Linked DNA regions of Ovis aries. The protein of the gene in region 3 purifies or fractionates together with the protein of the main gene of each other region. This does not show direct contact. Links are inferred from orthologs where the notes say so. Each region holds a gene or a part of one and is shown on either strand. Other genes may lie near its edges.

The links. The genes of interacting proteins can lie anywhere in the genome.
Region 1: the proteins of STIP1 (region 3) and DNAJB6 purify together in Homo sapiens (affinity purification with mass spectrometry; 3 studies listed by BioGRID and IntAct, with this or other methods). This does not show direct contact. The link is inferred for Ovis aries from reciprocal best matches to the Homo sapiens genes STIP1 and DNAJB6.
Region 2: the proteins of STIP1 (region 3) and HNRNPDL fractionate together in Homo sapiens (co-fractionation; 3 studies listed by BioGRID, with this or other methods). This does not show direct contact. The link is inferred for Ovis aries from reciprocal best matches to the Homo sapiens genes STIP1 and HNRNPDL.
Region 4: the proteins of STIP1 (region 3) and ACLY fractionate together in Homo sapiens (co-fractionation; 3 studies listed by BioGRID, with this or other methods). This does not show direct contact. The link is inferred for Ovis aries from reciprocal best matches to the Homo sapiens genes STIP1 and ACLY.

The regions. Positions count from the first base shown.
Region 1 is NC_056057.1:120,213,943-120,217,461, reverse strand, and holds part of DNAJB6 (dnaJ homolog subfamily B member 6), read right to left. Parts: intron 3,366-3,519; coding exon 3,256-3,365; intron 1,665-3,255; coding exon 1,605-1,664; intron 855-1,604; coding exon 744-854; intron 1-743. UniProt on the Homo sapiens protein: Has a stimulatory effect on the ATPase activity of HSP70 in a dose-dependent and time-dependent manner and hence acts as a co-chaperone of HSP70. Plays an indispensable role in the organization of KRT8/KRT18 filaments.
Region 2 is NC_056059.1:97,922,974-97,925,461, forward strand, and holds part of HNRNPDL (heterogeneous nuclear ribonucleoprotein D-like), read right to left. Parts: coding exon 2,444-2,488; intron 2,296-2,443; coding exon 2,181-2,295; intron 1,632-2,180; coding exon 1,461-1,631; intron 1,160-1,460; coding exon 1,089-1,159; 3' UTR 1,068-1,088; exon of another isoform or gene 696-1,067; 3' UTR 1-695. UniProt on the Homo sapiens protein: Acts as a transcriptional regulator. Promotes transcription repression. Promotes transcription activation in differentiated myotubes. Binds to double- and single-stranded DNA sequences. Binds to the transcription suppressor CATR sequence of the COX5B promoter.
Region 3 is NC_056074.1:38,952,108-38,955,626, forward strand, and holds part of STIP1 (stress-induced-phosphoprotein 1), read left to right. Parts: intron 1-790; coding exon 791-917; intron 918-1,007; coding exon 1,008-1,110; intron 1,111-1,327; coding exon 1,328-1,448; intron 1,449-2,539; coding exon 2,540-2,761; intron 2,762-3,519. UniProt on the Homo sapiens protein: Acts as a co-chaperone for HSP90AA1. Mediates the association of the molecular chaperones HSPA8/HSC70 and HSP90.
Region 4 is NC_056064.1:41,823,459-41,826,977, reverse strand, and holds part of ACLY (ATP-citrate synthase), read left to right. Parts: intron 1-1,532; coding exon of another isoform or gene 1,533-1,560; coding exon 1,561-1,719; intron 1,720-2,948; coding exon 2,949-3,071; intron 3,072-3,519. UniProt on the Homo sapiens protein: Catalyzes the cleavage of citrate into oxaloacetate and acetyl-CoA, the latter serving as common substrate in multiple biochemical reactions in protein, carbohydrate and lipid metabolism.

The DNA of each region.
Region 1 (3,519 bases), on a different chromosome or scaffold from region 3:
GACCCAGGGCACTGTCTCCCCACCCAGGGGCAGAGACAACAGGCATCACGGTGCGCACGGCAGGCGGCCCAGCTCACCCCACTGCCAATGCCAGACCCTGCCACGCATTCCCGCCACGCCGCCTCGCATCGGGCACCAGGACCCGGAGGCCAGCGGCTGGGAACGCTCTCCTACAGTGAAGAGCAGCCAGAGCAGCAAGGTCTCCCGGCAAAGCTATTCTCAAAGACAAACACTTGTGATACCTTGCTCTAGAGGTGTCCTTTCTTTCCAAGAACTGCAAACTTAACAGTCCTAACACCACAATCAGAAAAACAAAGAGAAGTTTATGAATCAAATGTCTTCTGAGCAACATCTGCCTTGATGCTTAGTGTTTTCAATCAGACTCCTACACAGGAAATTCAGAGAATTCATTGTCCGACCAGGAGCAGCCCCACCTCCTTCCCACTGCAGAGGAAGCTAATTAGGGTGAAACGCACAGCCAAGGACACAAAGCGTTCAAACCTTTATTATGTTCCCGTGCAAGGTGTAAAGTCCACACTCAAACTCTCACTATGTTAACGTGCAAGGTATAAACTCTACAGCATCTTCCACAGGAAGAAGGGAAAAGGGTTTAGTTAAACTCGTGCACCGCTCAAACAGCAAGTTCAAGGACAAGCTACAAGAGTGGTGAGACGGCAAGGGTGCATCCGTCGTCGTGAGTCATGAACATGTTATGTGAATGACGACCCAGATGAAGAACTTACCGAAGAAGTCGAATGAAAATGGGTCCCTTCCACCAAAAAATTCCCTGAAGACTTCATCTGGGTTTCGGAATGTGAAGCCAAACTCAAATGGACTGTCGAAGTGACTTCCACCTACAGAAGCAAGCACAGCTCAGTCAGGGCCTCCCGCGTGGCAGGCACTGACACACACTGTCTACGCATTACTACCTGCATCCCGACCCAAACAACGAATGAGTTCCATACACCCGAAGCTCGCGCAAGTCCTGCTAGGAGCAAAGTCTCCTGCGCCAGGAGCTAAGAAACGCGCGCAGGTCCATGTCCGTGAGCGGTCCCCGAGCCGCCCTCGAGCCACCCGCGCACTGGGGGCTCCCGCCGCTCTGGGTGCGCCAGCCACACACAGCATTTCAGGCTGTGGAACAGCTGCTCGGGCATGTGCAGGAGGTCTGAGGTGTGCAAGCCCAAACGCCCACCACGGAGCTCGCGGGGCAGCAGGTTACTGCGCCACTTTCCATCAAAACACACACGTCCAAGCCTCATGACCAGAGGCAGCCACTTTGGTGGCTCTTTAGTTTTTTGATAGAACATCCAGTAAGGATGTTTTTGACACAACCTCCAATATTGATCTCAGGGTACACTCAGTGTATGATAGTAAGGTTTTACGGTATTTCCTATCTACGAAAGGTATACCAGTAAGTACTTTCTAGTACAAGATTTTTAACAGGCCTTTTCCAGGCCATCAGTCTCTCCTTCCTCTCCCCAGTCCAGCCTGCTCTACAGACTGCATTCCTGTTGACTGACAGACTGGATCGCAGTCAGACTGTATCATCAGGGCACCTCCTTTCATCACAAGGCCAGGAGAAAGACCAGTGTGCACACACGTACCTCCACCGCCACCGTTTAATCCTTCTTTGCCGTATCTGTCATAGATGTCCCGTTTTTTAGCTATAAATTTAAGAAGACAAGTCAGTAAAGACCAAGTTCTCTTCCCTCAAAGTCAGTAAAGCGTTTCTGAAGCTGTGAACGAAAGGCCCCCCACAGCTCTCAAGGCCCACACTTGTTTCTGAAGAGCTGGGACCCCTTACTGTGACACTTGAGGGCATCAAAGTCTGGCGGCTGCAGCCCCCGGGGTCCAAAGAGTCCGGCTGCAACTCAGGGACTGAACAGCAACAACTCCCTTAAAAACACCTCAGAATATTTTTAAGTAAAGCTTAAAAGACTTATTTAAAAAAAAAAAAAAAAAAACCTTATTTCACTCTACTGCTAACTGTGTGCCACGCACTGCATCAAAACCCCACTACAAAGCTGCAAAGCGACTCCACCCCTAGACATCGACCTGACTACAAAGTGCAACTCGGGAGAAGACCCACGGCACAGCAAGGAGCAGGACAGGGCCTTGGCGAGGGCAGAGAGGGGCCACATGGAGCCAGCCCCCAGCCTGGCCGTCCCTGGCCAGGCAGCAGCCCGCCTGAGCCCGGGCGATGGTTCTCAAACAAGAGCAGCAACAGTGCAGCCCTGCTCAGACACAGAGGCTCTGCAGACACACTGTGTGTGGCAAGTAAGGGGGCAACGGGGAAACAAGTGTGGAAGCAAGCTATCCGCAGCCAGGGTGGCTATCAGCGCCTTAAGAACAGTAGCTGTGTGTCTGTGCCGGTAACTCCTGGAACTGAAGGCTTCCTAAGGAAGCATGAAGAATAGACTCCCCCTTACAAATACACACAAAAGGCAGCATTTTCATGGCAGCTTTAAAGGTTCTGCTGCTGCCAAAAATCACGTTTGACGTTTGAATTTACTTCTCAAATTGTCTCATGTTCTTGATCTGTGGATCCACAAATCTGGGAGTGCTGATCAGGCACACAAGCAGGACAGTGATAGTCAACTACACCAGACGCTCATGGAGTGAGGTGACGAGGCCTTCTTCTAAACCAGAGCAGGTGTCCGCTTCCTCTGGTCTAGTCTTTCAAGCACCTCGGCCGAGAGTCACACCAGGTCACTCAGGGCTGCTTCCCGGCAAGGCGCTGTGAGCACTCTTCCAGTTTTCTCACGAAGTTCCACAGTCCTCGCCCTGCCCCAAGGCTTCTCTTACCAAGAACCCAAGGTCTGGCTAACACCCTCTGTACGACCCATGAAACTAAACCAACAGGCCTGAGCTTCCAGCGCCGTTCAGCTCCCAACTCTTAACAGGGCAGGGAAGCGTACAAGCTGTGGAGTCCACACCTCAGCAGTGTGCGCAACGCCTGACTTCCCGAAACTCAGGAGGGCCTTCCCAGGAGGCCAGCACCTCAGCACAGGGTGCTCAGGAGGGCGACGTGGGCCAGAGGCCCCGGCGGCCTCCGGCGCCAGGCAGACTTACAGAGCCGCCCGGGAGACGCCTAGAGGCCAGGGCACACAGCACTCACAGGGCCTTATCGGGAGGCTGGCGGGGACAGGACACCCAGTCTGCCCAGAAAACCCCCCTCACGACCCCGAAGCCCCTCGGCCAGGCCTTCCTCTGCAGGCCCCACCCGGGGACACAGCCCCCACGCTCCCCACTCACCGTCTGACAACACTTCATACGCCTCAGCTACTTGCTTGAATTTTCTCTCTGCTTCTTCTTTGTTCTCAGGATTTTTATCTGGATGCCACTTCAGTGCCAGTTTCCTGTATCTTAAAAAGGAGTTGAGGGCACTGATCACATCCCACTTCCAGGGTGGTGCCTAATGTATCATATGAAGCAAACATTCCAAAGCAAAAGCTCTAAGCGGAGACTAGACAGGCGTGGCGCACACCCTGCCCTTCCCCCAGGGGCAGCACCAGTGAC
Region 2 (2,488 bases), on a different chromosome or scaffold from region 3:
AAAATGCAGTTTGGGTAATTATAATCATCATCATCTCACTTTGAAGTTCCCATATGATACCATATTAAAATTACTTAAAAATATTAAAATTTACTTAAAAAATCAGGGAACACAATCTTTTTTTTTTTTACAATCTTTTCATATTCACAGATTGAACTGTGCTAGATGCAAGGTTTACTAGAAGTGTCTCTAGTAAGCCATGTAAAATTCTATTACAAACATGAATTTCTAACACGCTTGTATTTCAAGGCAACAAATTGCTATGTGCATATGATCTTTAATTTAAATCCCAGATTTTAAAGTTCTTGTTTTGGTTTGTAGATTTCACTATTAGCTATAAAAAGAAAAAGCAAGCATTAAATCTTAAAGAATGAACACTTAAAATGAGGCTCCACAATTGAAATACAACACTAAACAGAAGACCAAAATGATTAAGCTGTAAAAAGGCATTTATGTACTTTAACTCCTGTAAAAAACCATTTAAGTTAAGTTTAGACACTTAATCTTCAAAAAGATTAAAAAAGAAGCCAAAGTCTGAAGTTTTCCACTTTAATCTTTACGCTGGTACATGAAGTTGGAAGAGACCATACCACAGGACAGCGTTTTCTGGTGTATGCCTTGCGCTCTGCCCGCAACGTGCGACCCCCAGAGATAGACGTGGTCAGGGTGACACACGGCCTGCAATGAAGTTCCCGCTGGCGGGTACAAACAAGGTATAATGTCAGAGTTAGAAGACAACATTCTTGTTTTCCTTAAGTTGTACCCATTTCAGTACTTTACCTGTTAATAGTTCTAAAAAGTTTAATTATTCCTCTAGACCACCTGGTACACAAAGCAAACAGAAAAACTCTTAAGTTTTTCTGTTATTACTAAAGAAAGTGAGATAAAACTTTAAAGTTAAAGATCTATAGACATTTTAGGCAAAACAGGCTCATAAAGCAAGTAAAAATTTAACAATTTAGTAAAAACACGCTACGTGGTATTTTGTTTTTACTCATTTTCATTTGTCTATTGATCTTTAAATTAAATTAGACATTTCCACTGGTTTCTTGAACTCTGATACACACCTGTTTTCTGCAGTGTCCCCTTTAATATGGCTGGTAATTGTTTTGGTGATTGCCACCCCCTCGGGATGCCTTGCCGTAAGTACTCTGTTGGCCTATGTGGAAAAGACAAAAAAATTACACTTAGCTTTTAATGATATGGTTTTGCTATATATTTAAAAGCTATTAGATATGCAAAGTTCTGCATGCCAAATAGTAGAATTAAGACATTTTAAGTTACTATAAATTAGGCACATACCACATTCTAGAATGCTCATAATAACCAGTCACTAAGTCAGTATAACCCCGTGACTATTACATCTCAAAAATTTAACTCTAAACACGTCTATAACACAATCTCAGAATTGAGATGAATCATAATACCATTGGTTTATGAAGTTAAATAAATATTCTTACCACTGTAGTCTGCATATCCCTGTCCATATCCATAGTTCCCATAGTTATACCCAGTATAATCATAGCCGCCATAGCCACTATAGTTTTGATCACCACCATAGGCACTATTGTAATTTCCATATCCTTGATCATAATAGTTATTAAATCCTTGGTTCCAGTTTTGGCCCTGACCTGAAACAATGCACAATGATTGTTAGGAAACAACTTCTGACCCCCAATCCTAAAATAAAATGATGCATTCCTGTCCCTCACCCTGGAAATCTTAAAAAGGAAGAATGGACATTTACAGTGCTATCTGGTCAAGAAAATATCACTACAGTTATTAAAAAAAAAAAAAAAAGGGTGTGTGTGTGTGTGTGTGTGTGTGTGTGTATCAAGTCCAACTGTGCCAGTATCAGGCTTCCTAAATCTAATGGGGGATAAAAAAAAATCAAGGGGACAGCAAGCATGTTTAGAACAAGGACTCCTGCCACAGAAAACCTGTCATGCCAAGGTGTATCATGTAATCTTATTACATTCAATGGGACTATTTTCCCATCAGTACTGACACTGTCAGAGTGGCTATTCTTTGAAGAAGTGAAACCAGTAAAACAAAAACCCATGGACTAAAATGAGCGTGCTCTAACAGTTTAAATTTGGCTTTACTCTCCAATGGGCTTATTCATATTTAGCAGTTGATAGCCTAAACCATTGCCTCATTTCCCTAGAATTAGGTCTCACCTCGGCCTCGACCCCTAGTACCACCTCGCCCACCAGCTGCAGCACCTCTTCCTCCCTTTTGTTGTTGCTGTTGCTGTCTATATACCTCTTTAGGTTGTGCAACTTTGATTTCACACTAAAAACAAAAGATAAAAAGAAGACAAAACTGTTACCACTGTTCTAATGTCAAGCCATTTTTTTCCTTCTCAAAACAGGTTATGAAATTCCCTTAAAACAAAGAAACCCACCCCACCGTTCACTGAATAGAATCCAAATGGCTTTACCTTCCCAGAACCAATTTGATGGTATCTGCTTTCTAACAATTTCTT
Region 3 (3,519 bases):
CAGTTGCGTAGGCATCGTGCGTCTCAGAGTCTGCCCCGGGGTCCCATGGCCACTGTGGCTCTGGCTGCTGGTTCTGGCAGTGTGGAAATCAGCCAAGGCCAGCCCGAAGACTGTGTGGTCCTTGTTCTTGTGATCTAGAAGAATGTTGTCTGTCAGCTCATATGCTTGTTTCCTGGCTTAGCAGACAACTTTCAGTCTTTCAGAGCAGCAGGCCTGTGCTGAACGGTTTTATTTCCCTTCTTATAAATGGGAACAGCAGATTGTTGCCAAATTTAGTACCGTTAAATGGGTAAGCGTTGGTTGCTCATGGTGTCTCAAAGCTGGAAAAGGGCCCTACGGTGTGGGTGGTCGTGAGTCTGCTGAAGACTCCTGCCACCAGGACAGCCCCTCCCTCTCCTCCTCACCCCTCTGCCGATGTTCCCTGGTGGCTTGGACCCAGAGACTGCGTGTGAGAGAGAGCGAACTTACTCAGCCTATCAGAGTTAAACCCAGCACAGAGCTGTGTTGCCCACTCTTTCAAGCTGAGGGGATTTCCCCTTCTCTGAGGAAGCCCTCACTTTCAGACGAAGGTCCAGGAGAGTAGGTGGGATAAGGGAGTGTCTCGGAGGAAGCAGAGAGGAAACCAGTTTTCCATCCTAACAGCTGATAGTCCTCTCTGGGTGTGGAGAACCTGCTTCCCGTAGCATCGTTGGGTGTGTGTGCTGCGCGTGCCTGTGACATCCCAGGCGCTGGCTCCCTTTGCCGTCTGGGTTAGGTGTGCTCAGCCCTCTTTCTTTGGCACTTCCTCTAGGCGCTGAAAGAAAAAGAGCTGGGGAATGAAGCCTATAAGAAGAAGGACTTTGACACAGCCTTGAAGCACTACGACAGAGCCAAGGACCTGGATCCCACCAACATGACGTACATAACCAACCAAGCAGGTGAGGCCTGGGCCCGGGCGCGGGAGCGCTCCCAAGGCCCCGGGGAAGAGGCAAGGGCTGACGCTTCCTTCTTGACCTTCTGCTTGGCAGCCGTGTACTTCGAAAAGGGTGACTACGGTCAGTGCCGGGAGCTCTGTGAGAAGGCCATTGAAGTGGGGCGAGAAAACCGAGAAGACTACCGGCAGATTGCCAAGTACGCTTGCCCTGGAGTGCCTTGGGTAGTGGGGAGGGTCCCGTGTCTGCATGGGGGGGCCGGAAAGGAGGCTGCGGGGGCTGAGACAGAAGGCGTTAGAAGGGCATGGTACGGGGCCCAGCGATGCGGGCTTGTGTCTAGATGTCTTTCCTCTGGAGAGGCTGACCTTGTCTGTGCTCTGCCCTTAGCAAATTCTTTTTCCTTGGGTCTTTGTCAGAGCTTACGCACGAATTGGCAACTCTTATTTCAAAGAAGAAAAGTACAAGGATGCCATCCATTTCTACAACAAGTCTCTGGCAGAGCACCGAACCCCAGATGTGCTCAAGAGATGCCAACAGGTGGGTAGGGAATGAGGGATGTTTTCTTAATTCGATTTATTGTAGTCATTTATTTAGTAATGAATTTGTTGTCTTCGGTTATTTTGTATGATGCGTCCCCTGTTAATGATGAGAACACATAGAAATAACCCAGTTTTTCTGCTGTCTTTTTCAGTCGACCAGGGTTTTGACCTTAAATTTGTTGAGGGTCAGTGCACTGACAGCGTTGTGGCTTTTATTGTAAATTAAGACTCTGATGCTGGGAAAGATTGAAGGCGGGAGGAGAAGGGGACGACAGGATGAGATGGTTGGATGGCATCACCGACTCGATGGACACGAGTTTGGGTAGACTCCAGGAGTTGATGATGGACAGGGAGGCCTGACGTGCTGCAGTCCATGGGGTCATAAAGAGTCGGACACAACTGAGCGACTGAATCGAACTGAAATGTTTTCTTACTTTATACAACCAAAGTATGTAGGGGGATGATTTTATTCACAGAAAGATTGGTCGGAAAAATAAGAGCTGCTAATCCGTCATTTCCATATAAGGCATATCTTTGTACCAAGTGTATGTCAATACCGGTGGTTCTGTTTCATAGTATATACATCTTGATAATGAGAAATGTGAAATTCATTTCTTTAATTGACGTAAGGTTGATTTACATTATTTCAGTCATACAACAGCAACTCAGAACTATTTAAAGTTATAAAATATTGGCTATATTCTCTGTGCTGTACAGTTTATCTTTGTAGTTTGTACATAGTGTAAGGACTGTAAAATTATTAATCCCAAAATTAAATCTCACCAGCAGTACCTCACAGTTCAGTCAGTAAAGAATCTGCCTGCAGTGCAGGAAACCCAGGCTCAATTCCTGGGTTAGGAAGACCCCCTGGAGAAGGACATGGCAGCCCACTCTGGGGTTCTTGCCTGGAGAATTCCATGGACAGAAGAGCCTGGCAGGCTGCAGTCTGTGAGGTCGCAAGAGTCGGACACGACAGTGACTAAACCACCACCGCCAAGCAGTACTTTCTGAAAACTGAAATTCTGATAAGACTGTTTATTAGCCCAGTGTTACGAGAGTTTAAATGACTATTTAAAGAACCTTTTTTAGGCAGAGAAAATCTTGAAGGAGCAAGAGCGGCTGGCCTACATAAACCCTGACCTGGCCTTGGAGGAGAAGAATAAAGGCAATGAGTGTTTCCAGAAAGGGGACTACCCCCAGGCCATGAAGCACTACACAGAAGCCATTAAACGGAACCCCAAAGACGCCAAGCTGTACAGCAACCGAGCTGCCTGCTACACCAAGCTCCTGGAGTTCCAGCTGGCGCTCAAGGTGAGGGCAGGGCAGCCTGTCCATGAGGAATGTGTCTTCCTCTTTTCATGTGCTCATTAGCATCAGTTTGACGTTCTTATTTTGATCATAGATTCAAGGTGATGGTGCATGTATGAGATTGTGAAGTGCAGGGCCTATGTGTGCCCTGTCCTGGCCCGTGTAGTGTTACTTGGCACGTGGGAAGTGCCTGGGAAAGAAGACCCTTTTCCCTTCCTGTTGCCTCTCTCCATGTGTTAACTGTTTGGCCTTTCTGACGTTTTGATTGCACAGTTGAGTGGCATCGAGTCCGCACACACTGTTGTGCAGCCATCGCCACCCTCTGCTGCAGAGCTTTTCCATCTTCCCAAGTGGAACTGCATCTTCTGAACACTAAACTCCCCATTCCTCTCCTCCAGCCCCTAGCAACCAGTGTTCTGTTTTCTGTCTTTGAATTTGATCACTCTGGGGACCTCCTGTAAGTGGGATCATACAGCATTGACCTTTTGTGCCTGGCTCACGTCACTTAGCATAGTGTCTTCGAGGTTCATGTTGTAGCATGTCGGTGTTTTCTTCTCGTGGCTGAATGGTATTCTGTTGTATGGATGGACCACACTGTTTGTCGGTTCACCCATCAGTGGGGGTTGTTCTGCTTCGGGCGGCGCTGCTGTGAACGGGGGTGTACAGATGTCTGTCTGTCCCTCGTATCGGTCCTTCCAGGTGTTGCACGCAGCAGTGGAGGTATTGCAGTTCTGTGTTTGATTTGGGGGAGGGGTGAACTG
Region 4 (3,519 bases), on a different chromosome or scaffold from region 3:
GAAGCCCAGCCTGGCGAATTGGAAAGGAGGTGCAGAGTGGCCCCAGAAACTCTGGCCTTCCCTGAGCTGGAAATGGAGAGACCAACCTTCCTGAATATGTAAAGCAGCCAGCCCTTCAGCTCCACCCTCCTTTATTTACACTTGGCTTTTCTCTCCCAGTAAATTCAACAACCTCAATTCTGGATCTTTGTTGGAGAGACAGGAGTGACTTCCTGATCTGGCCAAACTCTTGGCATGAATGACTTAGTTTCCTTGCCCTTCCTGTCTCCCCACCCTTTATCTTCCCAAATTGCTCCAGGCACTAAGGGAGAAGGGGTGTGTCAGGACGAAGTGACAGGGAGGGAAGGTGAAGTTGTCATCACAGACCCTTCTGTGAGGTGAACGAGGTGAACGGGGGAAATGGCCTGGCTCCTGGACAAGTGGTCTTTTCTCTCGGGCTGACTGTGGGATTTTCCGGGGACCAGGAGTGAGAGGGTTTGAGTTCAAGCCTCGGGACCCCTGCGTATTAATTAGGCTTCTTGGGCAAGTTGCCTTAACCCCTCTGAGCTTTTATTCCTCATCTAAGAAATAGGGCTGTGGGAACTTCCCTGGCGGTCCAGTGGTTGAGAATCTGTGCTTCCACTGCGGAGGGCATGGGTTTGATCTCTGGTTGAGGAACTAAGGTCCTGCGTGCCATGTGGTGTGGCCAAAAATAAAAATAAGAAATAGGACTCTCAATCTCCATGCACCTCCCCGGGCTCACCTACATGTGACCCAGGATGGCTTCTGCCTCTCTTCCCCCAGTTCTGGGTCGGTTAGAAGTGACCGGTATGGGTGGTTCCCAGAGAGGACTCTGTTTTGCTCTAAATGAGTAGCTGGATGACTCAGCGGGGTGGGTGGGATGCACTGTAGGTCACAGTTTCCCGCCCTGTGTCAGCTCTGAACTTGGGTGGGAGTCTGGTGTCCTGGGAGAAATGGACTTTGACATAACTCTTCCTTTTCACTCCTGGGGGGCTTGGTCCTGCGTGAGGCTAAATAGACTTGCTTACCCAGCCTTCGGGCTGGTGATGTGTGTGAGTGTGTAAAATGAGTGAGTCTGAGTGTGTTGGAGACCAGACATGGAGGAGGGGTAGGGCCAGTCTTACACTATTTAACTGTGTTCCCCGCAGGTCACAGAACTAGAGGGTGCATTTCAGGGTCTTTGTGCCCATCTCGGGTGGGACAGGCACTCAGGTTTGGGTCACATCCCTGCTATTCATGGTCTCCCCATCCAGCTTTCTTTGCTCCAGGGTGAATGTTCGTGAATGTGCTCTTGGGTGAACTAGTTTGCCTGGAGAGTAGAGGCCATGAGTCCCCGGGGACGTAAATGCCACCTTTGTTTTTCTCCACCCTCTGTCCTCACCCATCATTTTCTAATCCGCTCTCTCTGTGGTCAGTGCTGTTTGAGATCTCCCTTCCATCCTTCCTTCTGGGGCAGCTGGGTGGGGGTCTGTCCTGCTGGAGAAGATAGCGCCTCCATCTCCCCGCCCCCTCTGACCAGCCCTTCTCTCCCCAACAGGTAGCGCAGGGCCTTCTGTAGCCATGTCGGCCAAGGCGATTTCTGAGCAGACAGGCAAAGAACTCCTCTACAAGTACATCTGCACCACCTCGGCCATCCAGAACCGCTTCAAGTACGCCCGGGTCACCCCTGACACAGACTGGGCCCGCCTGTTGCAGGACCACCCGTGGCTGCTCAGCCAGGTGAGCCCTCCGTCCCGCCAGGCCCCTCCTCCAGGCCCAGATGTCCCCTTAGAACGTGTGATGGCAGATGGCCTGCCTGGGTGGGCAGGGTGCAGGGGGCTGAGCGCGTTTTGTGTTCAGCCCTTTGTGCCGCACGCTGAGGTGCTGCGCCTGGACTGGAACTGGTCAGCTGGAGTCCGGGTGGCGGCTCTCTGGTTATTAACCATGTGGCCTGGGGCAAACCATTTCACCTCTCTTGAGTTTTAGATTCCCCATCTGTCATATGGGCAAACCACTCACCCTGTGAATTTAAGGACTAGCAATAATGCCTGGAAAGTCTTTGGTCTGCTGCCTGGCATTTGGTAAATGCTCAGTAAAAAGCACCTGCTCCGTCAGGAATATGTCAGGGCCACGAGGAAATGCGATGCTGTACTTTGTGAAGAATGGCTGATGGAATCCACCCAGAGTAGGGAATCCTCTCTGTAGATCCATTTGGACGTCTCTGGCAGGTCCCAGAGAACTAGGACCAGTGAGGGGCCGAGTGGGAGGGTGTTCAGGGATGCAATTTTCCTTCTGCTATGAGGCAGCCCAAACCCCAAACCACAAAGGCAGTTGGTAAACTTCCTGGTACTGGAGGTGTGTGAGCAGTGGCCAGGGGCTGCTTGTAGATCTTGTAGGTGGGGTTCAAACATAGGGATGTCTTGACCAGATGTCTTCTGCGGTGCTTTGTCACCCCAGGGCTCTGTCTTTCTATTCTTTCTTTTTGGAATGTGGGTGCCGGTCCATATTCTGAGGTGTTGAATGAAGCTAAGATATCACATAGGGAGGGTAGGGAATCCTTTACTCATTCAGCAGGTATTCAGTGAGCACCTACTCTGTGCCAGACCCTATCCTGAGCCAGGACAGCTCTAGATTCCCGGTTGTCAAAGGTGTTGGCTGGGATAGGTGAAGGAAGCTTCTGGGAGCTGACCTTGAAGATGGGTGGAATTTACCTTGGGGGTGGGGTGAATTGGAAGCCACCCAGGCTATCCTGTGCTTTGGGGCCCTAGACTATTACCTCTTAACTCTTCCCTCTCCTTCTTTGCTCTAAATACAAACCCCTCTTGGAAATTCCCTGGTACTGCAGGGGTTAGGACTCCAGGCTCTCAATGCCAAGAGCCTGGGTTCAATTCCTGGTTGGAGAACTAGATCCCACAAGCCACATGGCTCAGCCAAAACACAAAACAAGCAAACCAACTCTCTTGTTCCAGAGCTTGGTGGTCAAGCCAGACCAGCTGATCAAACGGCGTGGAAAGCTGGGCCTAGTTGGGGTCAACCTCACTCTGGATGGAGTCAAGTCCTGGCTGAAGCCACGCCTGGGACAGGAGGCTACAGTGAGTCTGGGTGTAGGGTTGGGGTGGATGTGCTGTGGTAACAGAAGCAAACATGGCTGCTTCCAGATCTGCAACCCTATGGATCACCCCCGCGACTGGTCCGATTGCAGCCTGGGGAGGGCAGGAGTCCTGCAGAGCTGGCTTATGTAGTAGGGCCAGTTGGATGCTCATTCCGAGCTCCCCTGACAGGGAATGGTGAGATGTGCTGTACAAGTAGAAGTATTACAGGCACTTCTGTGGTGGTCCAGTGGTTAAGAATCTGCCTTCCAATGCAGGGGATGAAGGTTCTATCCCTGGTCGGGGAAGTAAGATCCCACGTGCTACAGGGAAGCTGAGCCTGAGGAACCCGAGCCAGGCCGAAATAGTCTGTTCCTTTAACAACAGTCGTGGTGATGGGACTCTGAGACCTACTCTGGGAACTCCTTTCTTTTCAATTACCAGAAAGGGT